7 linked regions of the Sus scrofa genome follow. The protein of the gene in region 5 interacts with the protein of the main gene of each other region in a pairwise test. Links are inferred from orthologs where the notes say so. Each region holds a gene or a part of one and is shown on either strand. Other genes may lie near its edges. The genes, in order: SSX2IP, MIPOL1, HMBOX1, VPS52, FAM161A, CADPS and CCDC102B.

Region 1 (4,335 bases), on a different chromosome or scaffold from region 5:
AATTTTTATGTGGGTGTTTTATCCAGTATATAGAGGATTCTATTCCATTATATTTCTATTGGAACATTATTCAATGACATCATTGATTAAGGTTTACAAAGCAAGGAATAAAATCTATCAGGAATCAAGCCTCCAGATTTCTTCTCCACTGAGAACACAGAAAAAGAAATTTGCCTAGTGTGAAATATAAATAATGAAATAAATGGAAATGTATAACTAGGGTAAAATTGAATTGCCAGTTGCAGAATAAAAAGATAAGAACTATTTTTTTTATTGCAACACTTCAGCCTTCTGTACTGAAATGTATATTCCCAAAAACTCTTCACATAAAAGTCTGGGTTTTAAGTAATGACAGGTAAAACTCTTTTAAAGAAAATCCAACATATTAAAATATAATCTTATAGAACGGAGATGATGATAGGAGATTGTTTTACAAAGGTGTCATTCACCATGGACATAGATTTATCATAATTTTAAACATCTAGTTTCACTAGTACATTTAGATTATGATTTGATTGCTAAATACATTATTTAGACATGACTTTTGCTGGAATATATCTATAATATAAAGCAAGTACTAGCCAGAAGACATAGTGCTAGGGCCTGAAAATTTCAAAACAGTAAGTCATTTTGTGCAAAACTGTCTTCATCAATGTATCTTAATTTTTCTGGCCTAAATTGGTAAAGAAGGAAAATATAATTTAGAAAACCATTAATATCTGAGATGCATATTTATAATTCAAAGCATAGACACGGTCCCACATTTTCCTTGCTTCCATTTAATTATTCCATTCAATCAGTCCTTTGTAAAAATCTCCTATACTTCATTTTTCACTGACTTTTTTGCTCACCAGACTGTTTCCACATGTGCCACGTGAGTATATTTGTACCAATAAAATGAAATATCACACCCTTAGGTCACTTCATGAGAGCTCTTTTTTCAATGTGCTCCCAGGATGTTTTTGGTTGGGATCATCAAACAACCTAAACCCTGAAGCTTTATTGTTTACTAAACAGAATGCCCAGGGGAAGAAAGCCCCAAGTGGGCTTGGGAGCTTAGGGACGTTACATGGACCCAGGTAGCTGATCTGGCATTTCAGCCCAGGCCATGGGACTCAAGGGCACTAGTGCACTGTACCTCTTCACAACAATGTCAGACTGTCACTATTCTGTTTTCCTGGGAAACTCTGAGTTTCTGTTGTGAGCAGGGTCTTAAATCATTCAATAAATATGCATTAAACTGTTGAGGAAATTTTCAAATAACAGCAGGGAAACTAAGACTGTGTGAAATAAATGCGTGTTTTGGTGCAGAATTATATCAGAACTATTCAAGTGAATGCTGGATCTTTGTGCTCCGTGGTTTTTAAATTTATTTCAGTATAACTAAAAAAACAGTTTGGGTCATTTATAGTCCCCATACTTCCTGGGAGGGACTTTTGTTGTCTACTCAATGCTCAGAGTTTAAATTTGCAAGCTTAGAAGAGCAGACTGAGTCTAATTGCTGGGTGAGAAGGGTTTAGAGGCCACTGTAGTCAGCAAGGTAAGTTTCTGTGTGTGTGTGTCTTAAATGTGTGTTCATTGCATTTCTTAAAGGAGGTATGCTTTTATCTTGGAAATACAGGGTTTGAGAACTACCTTGGTTGGGTACGTGATCACGTTTCTATGATAGCACCTTATTAACTGTTGGAGTGATTTCCACACAATCAAGTTTTACATGACATATTTTAAAATTAATGAATCTTGGGACAAATGGAGAGTTGGAAACCAAAGCGCTAGAGTCTGGTAAAAATCATGCGTCTCAAAAAAAACAAACCAAGACAAACAAAAACAAAACAACAACAACAAAACCTTTCCCAAAAGGTAGGGCAAAACACGCAGCAGACCAGACAAAAATCTAAAGCACTAAGAGTGGAACACCTAGAAAATGATCAGGCATTTTGTCTGCTGTTCTGTGTGTTTGTGTACGGTGTTGCGGCATGGCAGGTCAGGTAGGGCAGGGTGGCAGGGCAGGTAATGATGAGGAATGGTTTCCTTTTCTGAGAATCTTTACTTGGGTCGAGGTGGTCTGCTTTTTCTGCAAACTCAGCCAGCACTTTATAAATGGCACAGAACTGTTATTTCAAGCTGAACTACTACTGACCCAAATCCAAAGGGACTGGCTAGAAATGAATTGTCTTTGGACATGCAGCAAGATGCAGAGATTCACTCAGCTAGCTAGAAGAGCCAAGCCCAGCTAAATGTAAGACCTCCTTTCAGACCAGGAAAGAGCTAGCGATCTGGCCTCTGCCTACGGGCAGGCTTGCAGAGTGAAAATGGCCCCTAGGCCCTATCCAGGTCCCTCTCCTCCGCAGAGTGATCCCTGACCACTCCAGCCCACAGCAACGTCTCTGAAGTTTTGCTGTCCTTGGAATCGGTCCTGTACTATTTTGCCGTTAATTATGAACAGGGTTAAATTGATCTTGTGGATAAAATGAGGCCATAGGTATGAAAGTTCCCAGTACAGGGAGTTCCGTTGTGGTGCAGTGGTTAACGAATCCGACTAGGAACCATGAGGTTCCGGGTTCGATCCCTGGTCTTGCTCAGCGGGTTAAGGATCCGGCGTTGCCGTGAGCTGTGATGTAGGTCACAGACGCGGCTTGGATCCCACGTTGCTGTGGCTCTGGTGTAGGCTGGTGGCTACAGCTCCAACTGGACCCCTAGCCTGGGAACCTCCATATGCCCGGGAGCGGCTCGAGAAAAGGCAAAAAGACAAAAAAATAAATAAATAAAAAATAAAAAATTCCCAGTACAGATTCCAGCAAGATTTTGTTTATCCTCCCTGCCACCCCTGGAGAGACAGTCCTGGCCACATCAGAGAGTTAATGAAAGTGAGGCCATTAAGTAGCAGCGATTCAGTCCATCTTATCTGCTACAGCATATAGGCCCTAATAAAAAAGGTTGTTGGATTATTAACTTATTACATATATTAACATCAGAGCTTAAAATAAAAATATTTTAAAAAATATAAACTTGTAAAAATTAATGTATTACAGAAGTTAATAGAATATTAAGCTATCTTACCATTAACAGTTTGGTTAGCAACCCTGTAGTGCAGGCACAGAGGGGCTGGGACTACAGAGGCAAACATGACCAGCAAAGTCCCTACCTTCATGGGGCTTACATTCTGGTGGGAGGAGACAGACGAGCAGCAAGCAAACGATTAAACCAATAAAACCAGACCTGGAAAGGCTGCTTTACCTATAGACATGGGATCTGAATGATGAAAAAGAATCAGAGCCTTCCAGGCAGACTGAATAGCACGTTCAAAGAACCAAAGGAGAAAAAAGGGAGCTGCCATGGCTGGCACTTGTGTACAAAAGTGAGAGTTTTAAGAGGGCTATAGGCGCCAGGTCATGCATGCATGAGTGGATAGGAAGTTCAGTTTCATGCTAAACACAATGAGAGGCATGAAAGATTCTTAATTGGGAGAGGGGGCTGAGAGGGTCTGAGTTTCATTTTTGAAAGACTGATCTAATAGAGGCAAGAATGGAAGTCTGCAGAAAGTTTGGAAGGGATTCATTCACACATACACAGAAGCATATAGAGTTTTAAAATACACGTGTGCTTTTCCTGCGACTTGTTACTGGTGCATATTTTTAGAATTCTTCTTTGAAATTATGTTCACAGTCAGTTTACTGTCTTAGACATCAAACACATCTTGTTTTTTGACCTTTCCCTATCCACTCAAATGCAGTAACTTAGTTGGAAAACACAGGTTTGGCATTTTAACACAACTCCAGAATGTGTTCATCAGATTTGGCTCTGAATAACTTCTTCTCAAGGAAAGCATTCTTTTCAAAAAGTCAGTGTCTACCGATGTGATACTTTTGAGCAGCATTATGGGAACATGTATATAGGCTGCCAAGGTGATTTATTTGAAATATAAAACATCCATTAGAAGTCACATTCATTTATTTACCAAGAATTATCTGCCACTAATCACTAAGCACCAAGCACTCTTTTAGACACTGGAGATATATATATCAGTGAACAATCAGAAAAATGCTCTCTCCCTCTCTCCCTGCTTGGCTGACACTCTAGGCAAGGGAAATAGGCCAAAAAAGAAAATTAACAAAGTAAGTAAGTAAGTATTATGGTTGAAGATTATTATAAGAGCAAAGTAAGAAAGATTTAGAAAGCTGGAGGGGTGTTTTTCCAATTTTAAATAATATTTGTGAGGTTGGTCCTCACAAAGAAGGTGACTTTGGTTAGATGTGGAAGGGGAGAGATAAGTAATACAGATGTTAAGGGAAAGAACATTCAAGCAGAGGGAATAGTGCAAAGGTCCTGAGGCAG
Region 2 (3,590 bases), on a different chromosome or scaffold from region 5:
GGTCTAAATATTTTAACTGAAAAACTTTTGCTTCTAGGGGATAAGAAATTTGTCCTAAATCTCAGAGATAACAAGAAAGCAGAGATTCAAACATAGGTCTGGCTGATTGACGACGAAGCTTGCCTCTATCTTCTATGCTGCAGTGCATCTCATAGGATGAATATGTTTATCATGAGGGGAAAGGGCAAAAGGCTCCAAGCAGAGAGATTAATGTATATAAAGGCATTTAGCCTCGAAGGTAGTGAGTGCCCTTCTGAGGAATGAGATAGTGCATATGAGAGAAGTAATAAGAGAAGGAGGGCCTATGCAACACACACTACTCTCAAAGCATCACATGTACAATCTCATCTAATTCTTACAACATTAGGAGATAGGAGTATTACTGTCCACATACTATTGTCCACATCAGCACAGTGTTTTAAAATGTCTAAGTTCACACACTTATGCATTGTGAATCCAGAGACTGAGCTTTTAAATTACCATGGTATACTGCTGAAGATACACAAGCATCTTATTTTACCATGATCATATATAGTTTTATAATAGAGTATAATTAGAAGTGGAGTGTTGAATTTAATACTTAGGCAATTACTGGTAATCTTTATTTTATTTTATTTTTTGTCTTTTTGCCTTTTCTAGGGCCGCTCTCACGGCATATGGAGATTCCCAGGCTAGGGGTCCAATCGGAGCTGTAGCCACCGGCCTATGCCAGAGCCACAGCAACAAGGGATCCAAGCCGCGTCTGCAATCTACACCACAGCTCACAGCAATGCCGAACTCTTAACCCACTGAGCAAGGGCAGGGATTGAACCTGCAACCCCATGGTCCCTAGTTGGATTCGTTAACCACTGCGCCACAATGGGAACTCCCAATTACTGGTAATCTTTCATCTAGGTCTGACTGCCAGAAATCAGAATAAAAGATTTAACATTTAAATTAAAACTTAACATTTAATTCTAAGAAAAGACATTAATTGTTGCACTTAAACTCTGTCCATGGATTGTCCATGCCATTTCCATGAAAAAAGTCTTGATTTGTCTGTTGTTAAATGTGAAAAATAAGAACAGTATAGTGAGTTTTTCAAAAGGTTAAACTTATTTAAAGTATTATCTGAGAAAATGTTATTTTTATTTCTTGGGGTGTAAAGTTATATCTTTCACAAAATAAAACTGATAGCTGATGAGACAAAAAAAAGTTGACAACATTTATAAATATTTTTTTTTAGAAATCTAATTGCTCTCTGGGAAACACTGTTTTAGGGAGTTTTAGTTATGTAGAGAAATTAAAGGATTACATATAAAAAAAGTTGAAATTTTTAAGTATTTGTAGTCTTAAAGCAAATAGAGCTAAATCAGATCTTAACTGTCAAAAGTTACTGATCTATAGTTTACAATGAAATGAGCTCTACCTATATATATATATCTTGGTGTTCGTAGAATGTTAATATACATTGTGAATAACTTGATATAGTTTCTGACTGAATATAAATTTAATGTTTACTTTTTTTAATTTTAGAATTTTTATTATTATTTTTTGGGGGGCTGTGCCTGCAGCACATGGAAATTCCTGGGCCAGGGATCAAACCCATGCCGTAGCAGCAACCCAGGCCATTGCAGTGACAATACTGGATCTTTAAACTGCTATAAGAGAACTCCTTTTATAAAAACCTATAAAAAACATAATACCATAAATCATAAGTTTCAAGGTACATACATTGATAATAAAGATTAATATGCATAATTCCTAATCTGGTTTAAAACAGTCTCAATTATATATTTACCTGATCTTGGGCTATTAATCAAAATATAATTTCAAGGATCCTGCGGGAATGCTTGAGATGACTTATTTTCAATAAAAAGTAGTGAGAAGTAAGAACTTCTTCATACTATAAAACTGAAAAAAACTTAAGGAAAAAAGTATGTCTTAGAAATTGAATGTGATTATGTGTGTGAATGACAAAATGCTGTTAATAAGTAAAGAAGCACTCAATTAAAATTACAAGTTCTTTTATATTAAAGCTGCCTTAGAAAATTTTGCTAGAGTATTCGAGTCCCATAAATTAACAAATGACTTCTTTGATAAGTTATGTTAATGTTTTGCTGGCTATCATTAAAGACTTATGATTATGCAGCTTTACTGAAGCTTTAATAAAGACACAAAGATTACTGAAAATAAACAACTATAATCACATACTTTGAAAAGCTGTATTGAATTCTTCAGAAGAGGAACATAAGAAAATTAATTTCACTGTCCTGGATTCTATGAGCTAGAGGTCTCAGACTGAAAGGTCATAGATGATCTCAACCCAAGCAGGATTATTGTGAAGCTAAATGAGGAAAGCTGGCAACTTGACTGCCTCTTCCCATTGCTAATAACTACCTATTTCTCATGAAACAATTTTAATCATATGGCCTGAATGAACTCATGAAGATCACTTATTAAATAAAGATGTTTATCCTAAATAGTACCTGTGATTCCCAAGTAAATGACTTTTGACCCCAAATATGGATATGACAGGCACTCTAAAAAAGTTCATCTGGCTCAATCTACTTTTGTCTTCAACTATTAACAGTATGCATAATAAATAATATATGATTTAGTTGCTAAAAGATAGCACTTTTGTTCTTTTTTGTTTCATGCTTTTGAAATTATGCAAGGTCATTTCACTTACTTCTGAACTTTGTCATTGGCTGCTCGGGAGGCCTCCACGGTGTGCTGAAGCTCTAATTCCATGTTTGCTCGATCTGTCAGAGCTTGCTGCAGTTGGATAGATAGTTCGTCATTTTGTTGTTGAGTGATGGAAACAATGTTCTCTCTGTTTTTCAAAGCTTCTTCATAGGTACTAAGGGTATGGTTAAACTGATCCTTCAGACTTTCTTCTTGGGATAAGGATTTGTGTAAACTGAGAAAATATAAAAATAAATAATGTAAACATAAATAGGGAGGCTGACTGACCAATAACTATTTGACAAAAATCTCCAGTTAGAAACATCCACTTCTAAAAATCAATAAAGACATACTTAAATGGGCAAATGAAAATAATTTTTGTATGACAATATTACGCTTGATAATTATCCATTTCTCTGCTTTTAGGCTGAAAGCTACCCAGACAAATGATTAGCTTTGCTATCAAAGCCTACACAAAGTTGCTGCAAGATGTTAATTATATCAGTGTAAATATTACATTCAATTTTCTTTAAAAGTAATAGCAAAGAATTACAAAATAAAGTATCTCTAGGTAAATAAAAGAATATAATAAGCTGACTGCAAAGAAGTGAGAAGTAAGAGAACAGGCATCAGTTTAGTAGATCCAGGGTCTATTTGGCTGAACACTTAATGAGAATGAATGAGGTTTGTACAAATACTGATCAGCCTTATACAGGGCATTTTCTACTTGTCACAGTTGAGATATAAATGAAGTTAAAATCACTACTCAGGCGGCACAGAAATAATATGTATTCAGATATATTTTCTTTTTGTTAATGAATCTTATGCCAAATACATGTGCTCATTAAGTCACACAGAGAAACAGCATATAAATTAAGACTAAATGAATGCAGAAGAAAATGCAGACAAATAGAATCCTAAAA
Region 3 (3,590 bases), on a different chromosome or scaffold from region 5:
GTAAGGCAGTGGATCTCAGAACAACTGGCAGCCTTCTGTAACTTAACAGAACCACCACAGACTCCTTCCTGCGGTTCCTACTGAACCCAAGGCAATGCTACCTGCACCGGCAGACCTGCCCTTTCACGTTCCCAGATTTCCAGGTAGGACCTGGTACTCCCCTTATGGACACTCACTCTCTCTTATTCTCTGAAGCTTCCTTTCCTTCCTTAAAGGTCTGGAAACAATGAAACCTTTTAGCTCTTCTCTGGCAATCACTGTATTTCTTTAGAAACCGCAGCTGCCTTAACAGTTAAGAGTCTGCTTCTTTACAAGGACCAGCAAGAACAAATGATACTAGCCATCCCATCATAAAGAAGCTATCAATTATAATAATCTCCTTACAATAAATCATGGATGTGGCTTGTCAGACAGTGTATTTTTCCCTCTCCTTTTCTTTCTGATTCAACTGAGAATAAGCAGACAAAATTCCACCACAATGGAAAGATATGGTATATTTTCTCTAAATAATATAAAAGGAAAGAAAGATAACAATCTCCTAATTGAAATAAAAAGTCAAACGCACCAAGCAAGAAAATGAGTGGGGGGATCATTCCTGAGAATAACGAATGCTACTCTTGAATTTGTTGGTTCAAGTAATATAGTAAAACAGAAAAGACTGCTCCATTTTACTTCAATTCTTGAAAGCTGGAAAAAAATATGTACATTTTCCCCCTGAAATCCATGGACAGGAGCAGGCCCAGGTCCTGCCTATAACTCTATATAAAGTCACAGACCCATATAAGGTGGCATTTTCATGCCTCTCAAAGGCTTCCTTACACTGACGTAAGCAGGATTAACAGACGCGGAGACGAGCTCATCAGCATATGCCTTACGTGGAGGAGTGAGACCAGCGAGAAGCTGGCGGATATTCAGTATCTCACTAATGAGGAAGGAAAAAAAACAAAGAAGGTCAGTCATTCTCTCTCTCTCTCTCTCTCAATGGTTTTAAGTTGAAAATATCTGGTGGGGGAAGAAGGGTGAAGAGGTAAGGAAATGGCACCCTCCTTCAATCTCAGAAATCATTTTCAGGTAATGGATAAACAGACAAAGCCCTGCTTAATAGCCAGCCCCATATTCCCCTTTAAACAAGGCTTCTCTGTACATAGGAAGGAGAGATGGAGCGAGGCAGGAAATATAGAGCAGTTGTGCCTCTTTCAGACGCACCCTACGCTGCCACACTGAAGGCTGTTTCCTCTTACCCACAGTGACAGCACGTCCTTTAATCGAGATGCCAAGAGATCATTTTCATCCAAGGCCAGCAGATGTAATTTTCTTTGATGCATGAATAGTTCATCATTTTGCTACTAGATGACAAGGTGATCACAGGGTGACTTTATAACCCAAGTTCACTGTTTGGTATTTTGAATTCTCAAAATGAAAAAAAGATTTATCAAATATAAATATCTTTAAAAAGTAACAAAAGTGCTACATATGTGATCAAGGAAAAAAATTCCATTAGTTACTGCTGCTTAAAGTAGATTAAACTTTACAAATATTACCACATCCATTATCAATATGGCTTCCAATTATTAAATAAATTGCCTGTAGCAATATAGCTTTTCACACCTCTCCAAGGACAGAGTAAAGAGAACACCAAAGCAGTCACATCCTGTTGTATCTCGCAGACCCACCACATAAGTGGCAAACGTCCCCTGCTTTTTTCTGCTGCTATTTAGGTAAGTATTTGCATTTGTGATAGTCAGTCAGCATAATCCCACTATAAAGTCTTCTAATAACCTCTCATGTGGAGGGGGCTTCGGTTAATGGATACAAAGACTGGAAGTTCGTTCACTTACTTATGACCTTAGCTCCATCCTTGAAAGAGCTTTTTTTGGTAGCAGGGAAAGGGGACACAGACAGGAGGCAAAGCAGCTTCCGTGACGACCTCCAGCACCTTTCCAGGCAGGCACGTAGCTGTGCCACATACTGTATAGTGGTTCTGAGAACTGGACTTAAAATCCATTAGACATTCAGCTCATGGTTTTTTGTTTTTTTTTTTTTTTCCAATGCTCTCAAGCTGGGTTTTCTGTTTTGTTTTTTTTTAATGACTTTTTTTTTTTTTTTGTCATTTTTCTGTTTGTTTTAATCATGGTCCCAAAGGAGAAGGCAGTATTTTATCTAAGTCACACAGCTTGTGAGAGGAAAGGATGTCTGTGTCAGGCATGTTAACATCAACCAAAATCTGAGATCGAGTTTTTCCACTGACATTCTTAGCACAGCACCCAAAGAAGTATAATCTAGCCACAGTGTGACTATTATGAGGCACGGCTTATTGCAGCTGGAAATCAATTACTCCCACGCTGAGGAGGGATTCTAGTGTTCCTTTTACTCTGCGGATACTCCCCAAATGGTGTCTGTCAATCCTGGGCCACACTACCTCAGCTTGCATCCTACCAGTCTTGGGGAAGGAAAAGGGGTACAAACTAGTGTTACAGGAATCTAAAGGTACCCAAGGTTTTACACGTAGCCTAATATTTGAAAACTGAGGGCTATCTAAATACCTGGAAGCACTTTCCTGGAATGCTAAGACAGAGCAGCAAGATTTTTCTAGCCTCAGGGGCTGGGAGAGGGAAGTTTGGTTGGTTGGTTGGTTATTATTTACTGGAATTAATACTGAGAGTATATGCAAAGGCTGAGGGCACCATGCCATCTTCACAGAACAAGACCCTAACGGCTAACTGACATACAAGAAACTGCAAGTTATACTGTAAGAACACATGTTAAGGACCGAGGAAAGTCTGCTAAGGTGCTACGTCTAAACTAAGTTAACTTCTCGTGTTCACCCTCTCTGATCAGTCGTCATCCAGAGCCTCTGTCTTGATTTCGTTGGCTCCTTGTCGGGCCAATGCCAAGATAGTGTGGTTGACTGCTGCCATTTCCACAGCTAATGAGATGGGGTCCTGGTGGTCACTATGGCTAGTGCTGTCATCCTAGATGTGCAGAAATAAGAAACAACTGTTATTAATGGATTGGTAAAATTCTCTAGCTTATAGAAAGGCATGCTGGGGCAAGGGGAGGCAGAACATTTATGGGAGGAAACAGAGTTGGAGATGGGGCATGACAGAAGAGAGGTGAAATGTATTTAAGTAGACACTGAATGGATTTAAGTCCAGAGACTTCCGGTTGGCATTTTTATGATTCAATAAATAAAAAGCATTCAAATAGTTTTTTTCCTGCTGAGGATTTTATTTCTTCTATCAGAAAGATTGCTGGTGGTGATGATCAAACCTGGATCAGTCTATGTTTGAAATACAGCACTAGTTACTGAAGGCCAAACTAGTGAGCTATTAAATTCCAGATTGGTACTTGTATTACAAAAAGATTATTAGAATTCATGTCCTCTCTCTACTCAACTGAGAAAACGAGACAAAACTATGGACACCAACATCTTAGGGATAAAAATGCATTTTTGTAAAAAAACAAAACCCCCAAACTCTCAATTACATCAGGACAAAAGTGCGACTGGCAGAAATGGCTAGGGGAGAATACGTGTGGCAGTCTCCTGCTGTAAGGCAGCTGCACAAGGGAAGCACAGGCGTCTTACTTGG
Region 4 (4,241 bases), on a different chromosome or scaffold from region 5:
CTGACCACAAAAGTCAAGGCCTTACTGTGCAGATAGAGCTCCTTGGACCAGCAGGACCTCTCCTTCTCTCTTAGCTGATGGAGGGCAGCTGTGGCGGGGCTGTCAGCACCATGCCCCACAAAATACTCCTTTTTTTTTTCTTCTTTTTTAGGGCCGCACCCACAGCATATGGAAGTTCCCAGGCTAGGGGTAGAGTCGGAGCTACAGCTGCCGGCCACAGCCACAGAAACACCAGATCCAAATTGCATTTTCGACCTAGGCCACAGCTCACAGCAACACTGGATCCTTTTTTTTTTTTTTTTTTTTTTTGGTCTTTTTGCTACTTCTTTGGGCCGCTTCCGCAGCATATGGAGGTTCCCAGGTTAGGGGTCTAATCGGAGCTGTAGCCGCTGGCCTACGCCAGAGCCACAGCAATGCGGGATCCAAGCCGCATCTGCAACCTACACCACAGCCCATGGCAACGCTGGATCGTTAACCCACTGAGCAAGGGCAGGGACCAAACCCGCAACCTCATGGTTCCTAGTCAGATTCGTTAACCACTGCGCCACAACGGGAACTCCAACACTGGATCCTTAACCCACTAAACGAGGCCAGGGAGTGAACCCGAATCTTCAAGGACACTATGTTAGGTCCTTAACCCACTGAGCCACAATGGGAACTCCCAAACGCCCGTTTTAGTAACACCACCCTTCCCTCTGCCAGAGGATACAATCACGAATGGATTTCTGCTCAATCTGCTGTAGCTCCAGTTCAACCTGCTTTGAATAGTGACGGAGATCCACACCCTGGAAGAGCATAAACACGATGGGTTGGGGGGGGCAGTCAGAGAAGGGACACTGCAACAAAGTCAACAAAGGATTTGGGGAGAAGACATTAAGATATTACACGAAGAGACTGTTTTCTTCTTTGAGGGGAGGGTGAGTGGAGGGGCAGATTAGGAGAGCAGAAAACCTCACCGTTTTAAGAGCTTCCTTTACTAACTCATCCTCCAGATTTGCCTGAATGTGAACTGGAAAGAGAAGTTTATCATAAGGGTCCAAAGGGCTCCACAGCGCCCGCTACCCACATCCGAACATCTGCACACCAATTCCTGCCTTATTACCTCCAGCCCCCATGCCTCTTAAGATGACAGGCACTGCGGCCACCTCGTGCCATCACTTACCATCAACTTCATCCAGGATGAATTCATCAGAGGTGAGGTCCAACTCTCCAAGTTGCAGTGGCTCCTGGAGACCTGGACCACCCCCCTGGAGAGGGGCAGGTTAATGGGAAAGGGAGGGGGAGAACAAAATATAATGGGGAGAGAGGACTTTCACTGGGAAACCAGAGAGAAATGCTGAGTCCAAAAAATTCCAAAATCTCATATTGTCCCAATCTACTCATTGGGGCTGATGGGTAGGGAATATGACAAGGAGCCAGCAAACCCACAGAGGTGACCAAATGAGGAAAATTAGGAGATGCAGGGACAGAGCAGAACTTGCAGTTGAACTTAGGGTCTCCAGACTCCTTCTATCTTAGATGTTCTGTTACAATCCCCGTGGGGAGCTCCAGCCTTTCTAGAAATGTCAGTTAACACAGTGTTCACCATCGTGCCAGGTGTCATCCTACATTCACCTAATCCTAACCGACAACCTCTACAGTAAGTCTTATTTTTTCACTTTATAAGTGTTAAGAGTGATGACACAGAGAGGCTAGTTAACTTGCCCAAACACACACAGCATAAGTGGCTGAGCTGGAATTAGAACCGAGGCAGTCTGGCCATGTTCCTAGCATTTACTCTACACCGCTTCTCTATCCTGCGCAAATATCTGGAGTTTAACTGAAACTGTGGCCCCAGAACCTAAGTATCAGCCATTCTAGTCCCCACTTTGGTCCAGGTCCGATCCGGGGAGGGGTATGGAGAGCCAGACCAGGCAGCATCACCGGTAGCAGCCGAGCTCCCAACCTTGCGCGAAACCCAGCCCAGACCTTTCTGACGTGAGAAGACCGGACGAGACTCTGGAGGAGAAACAGCCCTGCGTCCTCACCAGTGGGCCCTCCTCCTCCTCCATATCTGAGGCCCCGGACCGCAACACCAGCTCCCGGGCGGCTGCCGCCATGGTAGCAGCGGCAGCCATTCCGCGCAGCCCCACTTCCGGCAGCTGTCGGGCAGGTCCGTTCCCCTGAGTGGAACTGCAAGTTCTGGGGCGTGATGCACGAAACCGTTCCCAGATATTTGAGTTAAACAGACTGCCTCTAGCTCTCCCCTTTTCTCTAAGCTCTTCGCCCAAGTCCAAATGGAAACTGAAAGTCTTAAAAAGAGAATCTCAACCCGGAACTCTCGTGGCTCTCACGCGCAAAAACTTTACGATCTGTAAAGAGAGACGGCACCGGAAGTTGTGGCGCGCAGTTCTGACTCAGAGGCCTAGCCGGCTCAGGTACAAGGAGTTTCCGGAAGCGCTTCGCCAAGGTCGCTCCGCCTCTTCCGCCTGGAAGCTATATAAGAATGTCACGTCACTTCCGCTCTCTCTTCCACTGGAGGCCTACACGCCGCCGCCCGCGCTGCAGCCATGGTAAGAGTTGGGTTCGTTCGGGTATCTGGCGACATCGGAGCCGGGACAGGGAAGGCTTGCTGTCAGAGCGCCGAAAATGTCCTGGCCTGGGGGCTCGCAGCGTTTTGTGTGGAGCCTTGGGCCTCATTCCTGGAGAAGGACGACAAAGCACCCAGTTCTAGGCAGCGGGGCCCGAGGATGAGCGCTCCCCGGGCTCTGGGAAGGCTTGGGAGCGCGTGGGCCCTCCGTCCCGCCGCTTGGGAGCGGGCAGGAGGCGTTCTCCTCCGGAGATGGCGTTCTCCGATCCTGGACGCTTCCTGTTGTGCTGTCGGCAGGACCAGGGAGTCGTGTTGTGTCGTGAAGACCTGACGGGGGCTCTTTGCACCTTGCGTGACAAGCTTCACGCTCGTGTTTGGGGTTAACGGTTTGGCGGGAATTAGCGAAGTCTGACATCTCCCCCCATCTCTATCAGTCTCTAGTAATCCCTGAGAAGTTCCAGCACATTTTGCGAGTACTCAACACCAACATCGATGGGCGGCGGAAAATTGCCTTTGCTATCACTGCGATTAAGGTAAAGGAGCTGGGGGTGTGAAGGAAACTTGGGTAAACACCTGAGGTGTAAGCGAAAGTCTCAACCGTGTCACCTGGGCTGCTGGGTAAAAACAATGGTCAGGGTCCATCTAAGCCCTTGCCACATTTGCCGCAAAAGGTAAGTGGTAAAAGCCAAAGAACCGTCTTAGGTGAAGCAAAGTTGTTTTCACCTAGGGGTTGGGGAAAGGCTTTGGTTGTCTGCCAGCATTTGTTCACTAAACCGGCCTGGACCATCAGCAGTCAACTTATAAGGTCCCTGCTATATAGGTTTTTGCTCCTCCTAGTGCATCATAAGAGCAATTCTTGTGAAATGTGTATGTCCTGGAAATGGGATAATGGTACACTCTGAAGGGAGAGTAGAAAGGCCAAGAGATTCCAAGCATGAAGAAACCAGGAAATGGGGGGGGGGTCACTATTTCATAACAAGGTCAGTGAGCACAGGCTTAACTAACATAAAAAAATGACCTTACCAGTATGTTTATGTTATGTGGTGCCAGGGCTAAGCCTTTCTTGCTCACAATCCCCAAAGGACACCACAGTAAGTATTTTATAGATAGGTTGTTAATTTAAAATGGTGAATCACAAGCTTTGCTTTATAAGAGCCATCATGTTTACTTTGAATTCTTTTCATTCTGTAATTCAGGGTGCACAACTTTCGGTCTTAAGTGGTGCATGAGGAGACTGCTTCCTTCTATTGTGAAACTAGTAAGGCGGTGCACAGTAGAGGCTTATTTTATTGCACTTTACAGATAACCTCTTTTTTGTGGCAACCCTGTCTTGAGCAAATCATTTTTCCAACAGCATTTGTTCACTTGGTGTCTTCTGTCACATTTTGGTGATTCTCACAATATTTCAGACATTTTCATTGTTATATTTGTTACAGCGATCCATTGTCATTGACTTTTGTTACTATTGCACAAAGGCTCAGATGATGGTTAGCACTTTTTAATAAAGTATCTTTTCATTAAGGCATGTATGTATGTTTTTTTAACGTTAAGACTATTGCTCACTTAATAACCTACATAACTTACATGCACTGGGAAAACAAACAGATTTTGTGTAGCTCCCTTTATTGCAACATTCACTTTTCCGAGTGGTGTAGAACTGAGCCCTGAGTAT
Region 5 (4,096 bases):
GGCAACTGCAGCTCCAATTCAACCCCCAGCCTGGGAACATCCATATGACACATGTGTGGCCTTAAAAAAAAAAAAAAAAAAAAATCAAGGCAGGGGAGTTCCCTGGTGGCCTACCAGGTTAAGAACCCAGCATTGTCACTGTTGTCACTGCTGTAGCGCAGTTTTGCTCCCTGGTCTGGGTACTTATATGTGCCACCAGTGCAGCCAAAAAATAAGATAAATTAAAAAAAAAAAAATCAAGGTGGAAACCCAACCCAAACTGTGAAGAAGGCAAAGCTTGGCTCCTGTACTTTCATTCCTGCCTTTTCAGTGCTTTGCTCACCAACCCCAGTGCCCCCTGACTATGAGGCCTATTACTGTGGCAGCTTGTTCAGATTTGCTTTGGGATCCTTCAAGTATGGTGGTCTCAGAACAGTGTCAGACTTGTAACTTAGCTTCCTTCTTTTCTGTTTTTTTTTTTTTTCAGTAGGATCCTGTCCCTTGCAAACTAGCTCATTAGATAAACAAACTAATCTTTCCTCAGGTGATAAGTTTGTAATACAAATTTGCAATTTATCAGGGCACTCTGGAAGTATACCTGCAACTGTAGAAATGACTGACTCCGCTACCACAGCAAGCCAATGCAGAATCTTTGGAAGAATTGTTCAAATGACAGTCCCACTGGCAGTTGTTATTATTAATTTACACAAACTATCCTTTAGTTATGACATACATTCTCTCATTTGGTTCTCATAACAGTCCAGTGAGACAAGAAAGAGACAGTTATTATAGTTCTTTTACAGATAAGGAAACTGAGATTGAAGGAAGTTACATCTTAATATCAACTGGCCAATCTTCTTGGATAAACCATAATGGAAAAGAATATTTAAAAAAGAATATATTGGAGTTTGTGTTGTGGCACAGTAGGTTAAGAACCCGACTACTATCTATGAGGACAGGTTTAATCCCTGGCCTCACTCAGTGAGTTAAGGATCCAGTGTTGCCGCAAGATGCAGTTTAGGTCGCAGACACGGCTTGGATCTGGTGTTGCTGTGCTGTGGCTGGCAACTGCAGCTCCGATTTGACCCCTAGCCTGGGAACTTCCATATGCCACGGGTTCAGCCCTAGGAAAATTAATTTTTTAAAAAAGAATGTATATGTGTATAACTAAGTCACTTTACTATACAACAGAAATGAGCACAATACTGTAAATCAAATATACTTAAAAAAAAAATCAACTAGCAAATGAAAAGATCCGAACCCAGGACTCCAAATCCTTTTTCTCTATCCATATGGAGTCCTTTCCCTTCGTGACTTTGTCTCCTTTGTTGGCTACTGAAATTTGTGTTGAGGGAAAGCGTTACTGTGAGTGAATTTGGTACTAGGTCGCTTGGCCTGGTTCACCTTCATGGTCTCAATCTGCATTACTCTGGATAACCTCAAGTAGTTTATCTGTTGGTAAATACTACCTATAAAAAGTGTTGCTACAGATTTTCTCATTAACAGTGTGGATTAAAGAGATTAGAAATCCAAAATATCCAGTGATTTCTATCAGCCCTAGACCACAACATTTTGAATCTGAAAAAGTTTGGACAAAACGTATTAAAAATCTTATGGAGCTCTCTTGTGACAGTGGATTATGGATCTCCAGTCATCACTGCTATGGCAGGGGTTTGATTCCTTGGCCTGAGAACTTTCTCATGCCTTGGGTGCAGCAAAAAAAAAAAAAAAAAAAAATCTTTAACTGGGTTTAAGGAGGTTTATATATGCAGATTGCTAGGTAAAATTCAAGATTCCCACCTTTTAAGTGAATAGAGCAGATGGCAGACTTGACCTGGTGGACAGGGGTTCACAACACATTTGACACTGAAAATTGATCAGTGAAAAGACTGTCTCACCCTACCCTGAGGAACCATAATTTATTGGAACCTCAGTACTTCGCTTCTCTGGAGGCTTAACTATATCTGTGTCTGATCGACCCACTAAACTCTGGATGGTTTTAAAAACCATCTCTCATGTATTGTATTAAGATGCACTAATAACCAGGACATCAAGGTGACAACAAAACACACCTGACAGCACAGCTGATTTCCTTCCGTTTTATAGGTTATCCTCTATGAGATCGATTTTCAAGTTGAAAAGAAAAAAAAAAAAAAGAAAAGCTGTATCTACCCCCAACAGACGATGGAGCATAAGGAGTAAAGTTCTGTACTTTGCACTCTCTAGAAATAGAGAAACGTAAATCTCCAAGAAAATTTTGCATCTCTGGCTAAAATTAAAAGACTTTTCAACGCTTCGATTTTGAGCATTTTCTGTGGGAGGAGAGAGAACGCAGTGGGCCAGGCTCACCAGGTTAGGGAGGATCCGAATAGTGCGCGCATTTCCCAGCCAGCGCCTCACCACTGGGGTCGCAGACCAGCCTCCAGCTGCACCCCGCCTGAGCCCAGCCCCAGCCCACGTCCCGCCCCTGCATTACCGGCGCCCGCGCCGGCCGCTCTGCCTTCTCCTCCTCTTCCTTCTCCTTTTCTTCTTCCTCCTCCTCCTCCAAGGCCGCCGTGGCCGCAGACAGGGACTCTAAGGGGTCTTTACGTTCGTACTGGGCAATCTGCGCTCCGGTGTTGGGACTGACCGGGGTTTGGAGACTGCCAGCCGCCAGCTTCGCAGTTTGGTGCGAGGCGGCCATTACCGCGCCTCCGAGGCCTTAGCGCCCGCGCTGGCCTGGGGCGGGGAAGCCGGCGGCTCCTGGCTTGGAGTGGTGGTTACTAGGGGCCTGGTAACTAGGGACGCTACAGGGGCCGCGAGCGACCAAACGTCACTCAAAACCCGCGCACGCTTCGGGAAACCCCGGAGCCTCCTGGATAGTGGGAATCAGGACTGAGTCTTTGCTGGCGTAGAGCGTTGGCGGACGGAACAAGGCACCTCTTTCCCTTTGCGCTTCGCCGCCTAAACGCAGACTTCTCACATTATACTAATGAGTTACTCTTTTATGGGGGGAGCGCATTTTTATTCATTGAAATAACATGTTAGGAGGAAACGGCGGTGGCACAGGAAAACTGGGGATGTTACTGTGTTGCGGCCTCAGGCCTGTGGCAAGGTTTGCACCCCGCTAGCTAACATGGCTCCCGCGAGGTGGAGCGGGTGAATGGAAGGGAGTGCCTCACATTCTACTCTGATTGACTTGAGAGCTGGCAGAAGTCAACGAATCCGGCTAGCGATACTTTCCGCCTGACCAATGAAAGCCCAGAGTTGGGTAGAACCTCGCCAGTGAGTGACAGTGCGGGTGTATGAACCCAGTGTTTGCTGCTTGGGTTCATTAGCTTTATAGTGGTGGGGTCCAAGTGTGCAAGCTCCCAGCGATAACAACAGACAAGCCTCTTCTCCACCACTCCCGCATCAACTTTTCCCACCTGGAATTTGGGTGCTTCGCAGGCGCCTTCGCTCTACACCCCTCGCAGGTAAGAGGGGCCTAGCCTTAAAATAGCGAGCATGTTGCAGTCTCAGCTACCTAAGCCCCTACTTCCTGAGACTGAGGCTGCAGCAACCTCCCCAGCCCTATCCTTCCGCCTCCTCCCAGGCCTGGCCCTTCAACCTGCCGCACCACTACAAAGTTAAGTATGCGGCGCTCCATATCTGGAACCTCTGAGATCTGAGCCCATCATACCAAGCCTTTCTTGTTCGCCTGGTCTAGAGCGTGAGCACCTGCAAAATTCCCAACCCCCTCACCGTCTTCGGGCTGCTTTTTGTTTTGGCTGAGCATTTGCTTCGAACACTGGAACAGATTCTGGCTGGATTCTGAGCAGAAGCCAGAGCTGGAAGCCCTTGAAGTATGGATGCCCCAAGTGACCAAAGAAGGGACTTCTAGTTCTTTGCATGCAGCTAATCCTGTGGCTGCACGCGCCCCTCTTAGAATTTGCTAGGATTTATTGTAAGCCTGGCCCCAAATCAGCAACGCAGATCTACATGCTAAAGCACTGAAAACGGGAGATTAGGCTAGGCTAGGTTAGAATACAATAGGAGGAGTAAGTGTGGAGAAACACATTGTATGTGTATGTGAAAGACAGAAAACCTTCCATTTACCAGCAGTATTCTAAATTTGCAGGTATCTAATAATATAGCC
Region 6 (4,365 bases), on a different chromosome or scaffold from region 5:
ACAACAACGGAGAAATTCACTAGTTTAAAAAACTGGTCTTCCAACCTTGATGGGGCTACCGCTGGCTTTAACCGCCCCTCTAGGGGTTTAACTAGCGTTTCTGATACTTCAGCTGCTTCAGATTCATCTAAAAGAGACAGAACAGTTTCTTCACTAACTTACTGCAGCTGGGTAGCTGACCGCTTCTAGTCGGTTCGCCGCCACTGGCCCTCAACCTGCAGTAACTAACAACTCCTTTCTCTGGCTGGAGAACAACTGATAGAAATATGCACTTTTGTTCCCATGAAAGGTAGCCCGAAACCGCCTCAGCCTTGCCCTAGCTTCAGACACAAAAAGCTTTTGATGCTTGTAATTGCGAGGCTTTTTGCTGCTGCACTTTTTCAAGCTAGCAGCGGCAGGGCTTGGAGAGCATCGGAGAGCCAGAAGGTGGCGGCGAAGTCACCTTGGGATGAAGAGAAAAGGGTCAAAGGGAGGAAGGCAGTGGGAGCTGACCCCGGCTGAAGGACCAGAGGGTGCGCCCCAGCTCTGGGGTTCGGGAGCAGGAGCAAGGGAGTGGCGCGAAGCCTGGCCAGGGGGAAGCGGGGTCCAGGGACCCCGAGGCAACCCTAGTTGGCAATCAGCTGACCCGGGCGGAGGTAGGAGGGTGCCCTTCGCAGAGTCAAGGGAAGCTTCGCCTTCCGGGCTCGTTTTCTCCCGCCTGCCCCTGCGGTTGCTCTCCGCCCGGGTTTGCAGGAGCGCGGCTCGGAGGCGCTCTCCTCGCTCCTCACCGGAGCCCCCACCTGCCAGGCGCCCCCGCCCGCTTGCCCAGCGCACGCCCAGGAGGGCGGGCCCGGAGCTGAGCGCAGCCGCCCGCCGCTGAAGAGTGCTGGGAGCCGGGCAAGCGAGCCAGGCCTCTCACGGAGCCGGGGCTGCTAGTCACTCCCCGAGCCTAGGGGGTCACAAAGCCGGACTTGCTCGCCTCGCTCACTGGCAGGGCCCAGGCTATGCGCTCCCGGCCCCTTGCTGGTCCGGGGCAGCTCCTGGCTTGCTCCAGGCTCGGGGCTCGGCCTCGGGGAGGTACCCTCTTAGCTCCTTCCCCAGGGCGCGGTCTCTTACTCGCCAGCTGCGCCGCCAGCTCCCATTGTTCGCCCCGCCCGCCTGGCGACGTCCCGGAGCTGCTCCCTCGGCCTCCCCGGCGCACCTACCTTCTGCTGCCTCCGAGCCATGTCGGTGGGCTGCTTGGCGTTGAAGGGGTAGGCGATGCAGCGCATCACGAACACATAGAGCTGCAGCCTCTTCTTCCTTTCCTCCTCCTCCTTCTGCAGCCGCTCCAACTCCTCCTTCTCCTTCTCGCTTACCACCGACGGGCTGGGGCTGGAGGGCCGGCCGACACCTGCACGGCTACTAGGTTGCAGCCCCCCGGCCCCGCCGCCGCTGCTCGCGCCGCTGCCCCCGCCGCCGCCGGCGCCCACCCCGGCCCCGGCGCCGGCACCGCCGCCGCTCCCCAGCCCGGCGCCGCCGCCCGAGCCCTCGCTGGTGCGACTGGGAGACAGGCGAGCCCCGGACGCGGCCGAGCCGAGCACCTCCTTGCCGCTTTCCTCTTCCACGATCTCATCCGATTCCTCTTCGCTGGAAGAAGGGTCTAGCATGGTGGCGCCTGGGGAGAGGGGTCCTTGGAACCCCTGGCTTGGGGTGCAAAAGGTGGGGGGCGCTGGAGGCGGCTGGGGGTCGGCTCTCCGGGATGGGCGCTTCTCCCCAAATCAGGGAGCGAGCGCGCTGATGCTCAGCCTCGGCCGCCGCTCGACTGCTTCCTCCGCCTGATGATCGCCAGCTGGGCTCAGACCCAGGAGCACGAGGGGAGGAGGGGAAGCGAGAGTTGCGTCCGTGGACCCGAGGTGGGCAAGGGAAAGAGTCAGTTGCGAGCTCCGAGCCCTCAGCCGGATGCCATCTGCAGCCGCTGAAGGAGGCGCCTCCAGAAAAGATGCCGAGTGTTGCAAGCTGTCGATGCAGCCTAGAGCCGAAGAGGCATCTTGCCGATTGGGGAGGGAGCGGCGCTTACGTGTTTATTGGCTTAACTCTCCCGTGTCCGCGGCGTAAAGGGTGGCTGCAGAGGGCTGGAGCGGGGAGAGCGCGGAGCGTCCCCAAAGTCTCAGAGCTTCCGTACTGACCCTAATGCTTTCCCGCCCTCCTCACCCCCATCCCCTCTTGGATAATTTCCTCCTTGACGCCCAGCTCTCCAGGCTTCGACCTCTCTCCCCCCTTCGCGGACAAAAAGTTTCGGGGGGTAGGAGGAAATAAACAAATCCTGTGATTACTTCTTGTCAGCGAAGAGTGGGCTATTTGAGACACTAAATTCAGAGGTCTAAGAGGAAGTCGGCGAGATCTTAGGGGAAAAAAAAACTGTTTTTTTTTTTTTTTTTTAAATCCACAGCTTTATTCATACCTGGGGCAGTGAGGCTGCGCAGCTTGTTTGTCCCACCTGTGTAAACTCTGATGCCAGCAATTTACATACGCACATTCTCATTAAAATAAAAGTGAATCAAATTTGAGCATGCAACTTAACTATTTAACTAGCAGCCCTCCCCTTGTCTACCCCGCAAAAGCTATGATGAACAATTTTCAATTCCGAGAACTAGTAATACTTTATGCTGAGGTGAGCCTACCACAGAAATAGAAGGGTTTCTGATTGCTTAGTCCTTCCTCCATTCTGGCTCGCTGGAAGATCTGGGTGGAGGAGTGGATCAGATAAAGACACCCTAAGAATTCAGGCATCAACAACTAATGCGCTGACTGTCGCACCGTTTTCCTTCCTGCCTCTGGGTTATCTATTAATTCAAAGCAGCAGATGGTGCCTTCCTTCCCCGTGCTGCTTTCACTTAAGCCAATAAACCCAGCGGTCGGGGGGAGCTAGCCAGCGTGCTGAATCTAATCAGCGACCCTCAGATGGATTGAAAATAAACCAGGACCATCCACCCTTGGGTCTTAAGCTATCTTGAGACCTCTCTTCATTTCCCCTCACCCTATCTCCCACATTTATGTATTTTCAAGGCTCTAATTATTCGTAGATACTCGTGGGAGTTATTGTTAAAGTGTAGTGTGAATTTAAAGTTTATATCACATCTGTTTTTATGTATTTTAAATTTTACCATGAGTTTTACTGTAGGCTTTGATATTCAAGAAAAGCTTTCTAGCTAGTCTGAGACTTAAAAATGAATTTAAAACAGCATCTAGTTCCACATTAATTCTAACAATCTGTTTAATTTTTAAAATTATGTAATATATGCATGGGCTCATACTTGACTTCACCACCATACTCACCTCAAGGGCAAAACTTCTGTGGTCATTATACATTCTGTATTATTTAAAATAAGTAACCCAGCAATGTGGAAATTTTTACACTTTGGCAGTTCTCACTTTTAAATTTTTCTAAAGAAGTAAAAGATGTTCAAATTATGTTGTACTGGTTTCCCCGGAAGAGGAAATATAGTAGGCCAATCACTCAATCAATCAACCTTTAGTCAGCATCTTTTTATGAAATGACTATTGTCCTAAGGATAAGTGGGAATTTTAGAAGACATTCTCTTAAAGAGTCTATAATCTCCCTTTGGAAATACAACATAAACTCATAAAAAAGATTGACAGCACTTATTTCAAGGCAATATATCAATAAATTTAACTTAGTAAACTGCTAAAAGCTTGCTCAAATGAAGCAACTGGGAATAGAAGAGAATCAAAAAAAGAGAGTTAAATTTTAAAGATAGGAAACATAAGAATAAATGGTAAAAAGGAAGATATTACAAATGGAAAAAGTGATTTGCAAAGCCATAGTGACAGGACAAGGGCCAACAAAAGTACAGAGTGCTATGGGGGGTGTGGTATGGGAGCAGGAAAGGGAAAAGTGAGGAGGAAAAAAAGTTGAAATAATCCATTTGGTCATATGGGAGGGTCATTTTTAGGACACAAAGAAACAAATCACAAATCATTAGCTATGGAGAATGGCGATTTGCTCCTGAAGACCAGACAAAGCCATTTACTAACTAGATAATGCTTCTTTAAGAAAGATAAGGCATTTAAGTATCATCATAGTAGGCACCAGTTCTGTCTTTAGAACCAATTGGAATTTTTCAATCAGTGTAAGAAAGTTTTGTTTCGGTTAGTATTTTTACAATTTTTCTGGAGTTTTGTGGGAGTTTTGCAGTTATATTCATTAAAACATAAACTTGGTATCTACCTCTCATTAATCATATAAACCTATGACTTGGGTATTATATATGACATTACTTAGATAATTCTAACCCTCTGCTCAGGAGAATACAGCCATGACTCCTTAATCAAAGAGACTTAAAAAAAAATTTACTGGAAATACTTTGTAATTTTTTCAAAAGA
Region 7 (4,019 bases), on a different chromosome or scaffold from region 5:
ATTAACATAAAACTTACAGAATAATTTTCTTTGGTCATAATTGAGTCTCTCCATAATTTTAAGGTGTGGTCACTAGGCATCCATTCATATCACACCATCAAAGAGAAACAAAGGGATCCAGTATGTTCCCAATATCACTTCCAGTCACTTCACATATTTTATTTGTGAATAAGTAATATTAGATGAAAATCAGAGATGCAACTTCCTTTCAGAAATCAAAATATATATTTTTGAATGTGAATAAAACATTCAAGAAAATGAAAAAAAGAGGAAAGCATAAGAATTGAATATGAGAACAGCCAATTAAATGTAAACACTGCTTATTTTCAGTATCTATTCCTTCTTTCTATTACCAAAGGCAAGAATGGACCATCTGAGGGAACTGTGATCAGTTTAGGTTTACAAATGCTGGAACCAATCTGCCTACTTTCTCACAACCTCCTCCCTGCACTCTGTTACCCCAATGCCCATTCCAAACCATCCTGCTAACTCCTACCAGATTCACATTCTTAAAATACCAGTGCAACATAGTGGAACAGCTCTGAAGCCAGAAAGACATTGTTTGGAATCCTGGCTCCACTTACTATATCTGTGGCTTTCAAGAAATCATTTGACATTTTTGAACATCAGAGCCCTTCATGTGTAAAATAAAGATAACATGTGAGATGAAGTTAATTTGATCACACATCTATCAAAATGGTATGTAAATTATCTTGTACACAGAAGTACAACTACGTGCTGGCAGTATTGCCAATGATGAAGAAGAAGATGATGAAGAAAGAGGAGGAGGAGTAAAAATACTCCATCTCCTCAGAAACTTGCATTTGCCCCAATTGTATACAGACAAAATTAATCTATATGAGTTTTAAGATGCGCCACAACTCTATCCAGCTCTATATTTGAACACAATGTCTGCTCCTCACAAAGTGTACTTTTTTCTGCTCCAATAAGGTGGATTATTCATCCCTACTCTTCCTGGTTTAGATTAATTTAGCCTCAAAACCCTTTGCTTCAACTACTTCTACAAAGTAGAAGAGTCTTTTTGCTTTTCAGCAACTATCTAAATTCCTCTAATTTTTTAAGTCTCAACTTACATAGCCAGACTTTTCTTTCAAGGCTTCTCTAAAATCTTACTAAAAAGGAAATTTTGAAGGTTTTGGCAATAGGACAGAATTCAACTGCCCCTGTAATATAAGCATGGGAGATATACTTCTTCTTCAAATGGAAATGGCCTAAGATCACTTTCTAGTTTAAATAATTATTGTCATTATATGTGTGGCTCCAATAATTAGATGGAACCCTCACAAATTTCAAGGCCACACCCATGTGAGGTACCTGGAAGTTATGTCCCAGAGATCAAGCAAATACTGAATACAATCAAAACAAATGAAGAGTGCAAAGGAGAGACTACTAAATGATATTTAACACACAAGAAAAATATTTTTTAAAGGTTTGGGGAAAAAAGGAATTCATATAAAACATTCTCCTAAAGATTCAAGTAGACATTGATATTTTAAATCAATGTTGCAAAATCACACAAAGCTCGTACAGGTATTGTATCACTAATTTTTCAAGATTCACTTCCATATTAAGTAAAAATATGGAGAAAAGTTAGAAATTAAAGACCATTTAATTTCTGTGTTAGGATATTTGACAATAAAATGATGAACAGCAAAAAAATTAAAAGTTGTAGCAATACCCTATCCCATAAAAATATTAGCAAAAGAGTATTCAGATAATTTTAGAAAATAGGAAAACTAATGTTTACGTAAATGAGAATATCAAGAAATATATCTGAATATTTCAATGCCGTATGTAACATGTTCTAATTGTATTTTTGAAGGATATCTCTCTTATATTTCTATTTAACAGATTTACCCACTCAACATTCATTTCATAATTTATCTTTGCAGAAAACATAAACAATACTGCCAATGGTTTCCAGAGATTTTTTTTCTTCAATTCTGTAATTACTTTCTCTAGAGTTAAATGCCTATTTCATTTTATTATGTGAAAGCTTTTAGTATTTTATGCTATGTATTTCTCCACACCCAGATAACTTATATCAAGAAATCAAGATTAGGGCTGAGTTGGAAGTATAGTTTTTTGTGAACAGTGATAGAAACTCAGCATGCAGACTAGCAAAATGAGAACTCTAAATGAATGAGGAATAAACTTGAGGATTTGCATAACAATTCTATTTTATTTTTACTCTAAGAATATAGATTACTTCAAACACAATGACTAAATCATATTAGTTTGGAGCAACAAAATAAGTTTTATTACCAACATATCATATTACTGTCTAAATTTAGAGTTGAAAATCTTACCTTTGTTAGTATACAGTTATTAAAAAAAAAAAAAGGAAATGTCTGACAAGCTGTTAGGATAAATAATACCAACGTGGAAAATGGAAGAGGGATGGAAGAAATCAAGTCCACTTTAAGAAGAAACTCTAAATCCCTGTTTCTCAGACCTACAGTAGTTTTGTTCTGCATCTTATAAGCAACTGTCTTTCTCTTTGCTCTGAGAATACCGCACACTCGGCCCCACCAGGAAAATATAAAAATTAAACAGAAAACCACAAGGTTATTAAGCATCTTACCCTCTGGGCTTGCTGGGCTGCTCTAGCGGCTCAGTGTTACAGACACATGTGTAAACAACAGAGTTTCCTGCATCCTTTTTTCATCTGTATGGCTCTGGGGTCCTGGCCAACAGGATTATTTCCAGCATTAAGGCTACTCCACACTAACTTGAAAAAGATTCCCATTGGCTGTGAAGTTTTATCAAAACCAATACAACAACACCCTTTGTGGATCACAAGTGAACTATCCAAAATGAAATCATTTTACTATTCCCTAACTCATGGATATGGCTATTCAATGGTCTCTACACAAATTATTTCAAACTGTGCTGTGAGTGAAAAAGGAAGAAACCACCCACCCTTTCATCCACCAGTGTATTTGTTTAATAACTTGTATATAGTAATAGAAAAAATATTTGTATAACTTGCAATAGTAATAGAAAAAATAAAGTGGCAAAGCCAAAGTACTAATAATGTGGAGTCCCCTTGTGACACAGCAGGTTAAGGATCTGGCCTTGTCACTGCAGTGGCTCAGGTCATTTCCATAGCAAGGTTCGATCCCTAGCCTGGGAACTTGTATGTGCCATGGGCCAAAAAAAAAAAAAAAGAGAAGAAAAAGCCAATCAAATCATAACATATCTATCTACAATAGATTTAAAGAAAAATTATGCTGCAGATTACAGGAACAATAGGAAATATCACTGGTCCAAAATGATTTTTATTAGATTGCCCCCAAAAGAAAAAGAAAAAATATTTAATAAACTTTCAGTATAGAAATCAAGACACAAAAACTATACATTGAAATCTTTGTTTCCAGTCATTTTGGGAAAATTATGAGCTGCATTCTCTGGGGCTGCCAAGAGAGCTCTCTAGGGCCCCCAAAAGAGGTCTCTGGCTCCTGTCCCTGGCAGGGGGAGGGGGAGGGGGGGAACCAGAGTGACTTTGCAGTGACTTGATGCAGCTGTCAGGAGGCATAATGATGAATGGTGATGTCACACCACATAAAAGAGAGCTTCTCCAGTTGAAACAGAATAGAACACCCAAGAAAAAGAGGACAGGGCAAAAGAAACTAGATCACTGTATCCTTATAAATAGCATGAAAATAGCAACATTGGGGAGTTAATATCTTCAAGTTATTTTATTTTTATTCCGTTCTTATTTTGGAGGAGTGTTCTTAGCTGAATAACCTACTCATCATCTATTTCTGCTTAACAGCATCCTTTCCTCCTTACTTCCTGGTGCAATGGAGAGGGTGACCATCTTCCACAGAACGTAAACTAAGCCTTTGAGGTTTCCTTTCGTTCTGTCTTTTCAGGAAATGTGCTCCATCACCATACTCTCTTCGCTTTCACTGAGCTCTCCCTTTTGTCTGGATTTTTCACCATGAGATTGTAAATATCAATTCTTCAGTCAGTTTCAGTTATGCCAATGACTT

The links.
Region 1: the proteins of FAM161A (region 5) and SSX2IP interact in binary tests that used the Homo sapiens proteins (3 or more experiments, as listed by UniProt). The two-hybrid records come from large-scale screens. The link is inferred for Sus scrofa from reciprocal best matches to the Homo sapiens genes FAM161A and SSX2IP.
Region 2: the proteins of FAM161A (region 5) and MIPOL1 interact in binary tests that used the Homo sapiens proteins (3 or more experiments, as listed by UniProt). The two-hybrid records come from large-scale screens. The link is inferred for Sus scrofa from reciprocal best matches to the Homo sapiens genes FAM161A and MIPOL1.
Region 3: the proteins of FAM161A (region 5) and HMBOX1 interact in binary tests that used the Homo sapiens proteins (3 or more experiments, as listed by UniProt). The two-hybrid records come from large-scale screens. The link is inferred for Sus scrofa from reciprocal best matches to the Homo sapiens genes FAM161A and HMBOX1.
Region 4: the proteins of FAM161A (region 5) and VPS52 interact in binary tests that used the Homo sapiens proteins (3 or more experiments, as listed by UniProt). The link is inferred for Sus scrofa from reciprocal best matches to the Homo sapiens genes FAM161A and VPS52.
Region 6: the proteins of FAM161A (region 5) and CADPS interact in a two-hybrid assay, tested with the Homo sapiens proteins (2 studies listed by BioGRID). The two-hybrid records come from large-scale screens. The link is inferred for Sus scrofa from reciprocal best matches to the Homo sapiens genes FAM161A and CADPS.
Region 7: the proteins of FAM161A (region 5) and CCDC102B interact in binary tests that used the Homo sapiens proteins (3 or more experiments, as listed by UniProt). The two-hybrid records come from large-scale screens. The link is inferred for Sus scrofa from reciprocal best matches to the Homo sapiens genes FAM161A and CCDC102B.

What each region holds. Positions count from the first base shown.
Region 1 is NC_010448.4:129,047,667-129,052,001, forward strand, and holds the start of SSX2IP (afadin- and alpha-actinin-binding protein), read left to right. Parts: upstream 1-1,519; 5' UTR 1,520-1,540; intron 1,541-4,335. UniProt on the Homo sapiens protein: Belongs to an adhesion system, which plays a role in the organization of homotypic, interneuronal and heterotypic cell-cell adherens junctions (AJs).
Region 2 is NC_010449.5:62,554,992-62,558,581, forward strand, and holds part of MIPOL1 (mirror-image polydactyly gene 1 protein), read right to left. Parts: intron 2,903-3,590; coding exon 2,672-2,902; intron 1-2,671.
Region 3 is NC_010456.5:12,881,078-12,884,667, reverse strand, and holds part of HMBOX1 (homeobox-containing protein 1), read right to left. Parts: intron 2,973-3,590; coding exon 2,835-2,972; 3' UTR 1-2,834. UniProt on the Homo sapiens protein: Binds directly to 5'-TTAGGG-3' repeats in telomeric DNA. Associates with the telomerase complex at sites of active telomere processing and positively regulates telomere elongation.
Region 4 is NC_010449.5:29,636,329-29,640,569, forward strand, and holds the start of VPS52 (vacuolar protein sorting-associated protein 52 homolog), read right to left. Parts: upstream 2,841-4,241; 5' UTR 2,553-2,840; coding exon of another isoform or gene 2,550-2,552; 5' UTR 2,118-2,549; coding exon 2,028-2,117; exon of another isoform or gene 1,969-2,027; intron 1,248-1,968; coding exon 1,163-1,247; intron 1,010-1,162; coding exon 957-1,009; intron 786-956; coding exon 710-785; intron 1-709. Other genes in the region: RPS18 (40S ribosomal protein S18), read left to right, coding at 2,550-2,552, 3,004-3,102. UniProt on the Homo sapiens protein: Acts as a component of the GARP complex that is involved in retrograde transport from early and late endosomes to the trans-Golgi network (TGN).
Region 5 is NC_010445.4:79,951,476-79,955,571, reverse strand, and holds the start of FAM161A (protein FAM161A), read right to left. Parts: upstream 2,875-4,096; 5' UTR 2,663-2,874; coding exon 2,456-2,662; intron 1-2,455. UniProt on the Homo sapiens protein: Involved in ciliogenesis.
Region 6 is NC_010455.5:44,480,055-44,484,419, forward strand, and holds the start of CADPS (calcium-dependent secretion activator 1), read right to left. Parts: upstream 2,807-4,365; 5' UTR 1,629-2,806; coding exon 1,185-1,628; intron 1-1,184.
Region 7 is NC_010443.5:153,930,250-153,934,268, forward strand, and holds the start of CCDC102B (coiled-coil domain-containing protein 102B), read right to left. Parts: upstream 2,848-4,019; 5' UTR 2,606-2,847; intron 1-2,605. UniProt on the Homo sapiens protein: During interphase, forms fibers at the proximal ends of centrioles to maintain centrosome cohesion. During mitosis, dissociates from the centrosome following phosphorylation to allow centrosome separation. Contributes to CROCC/rootletin filament formation.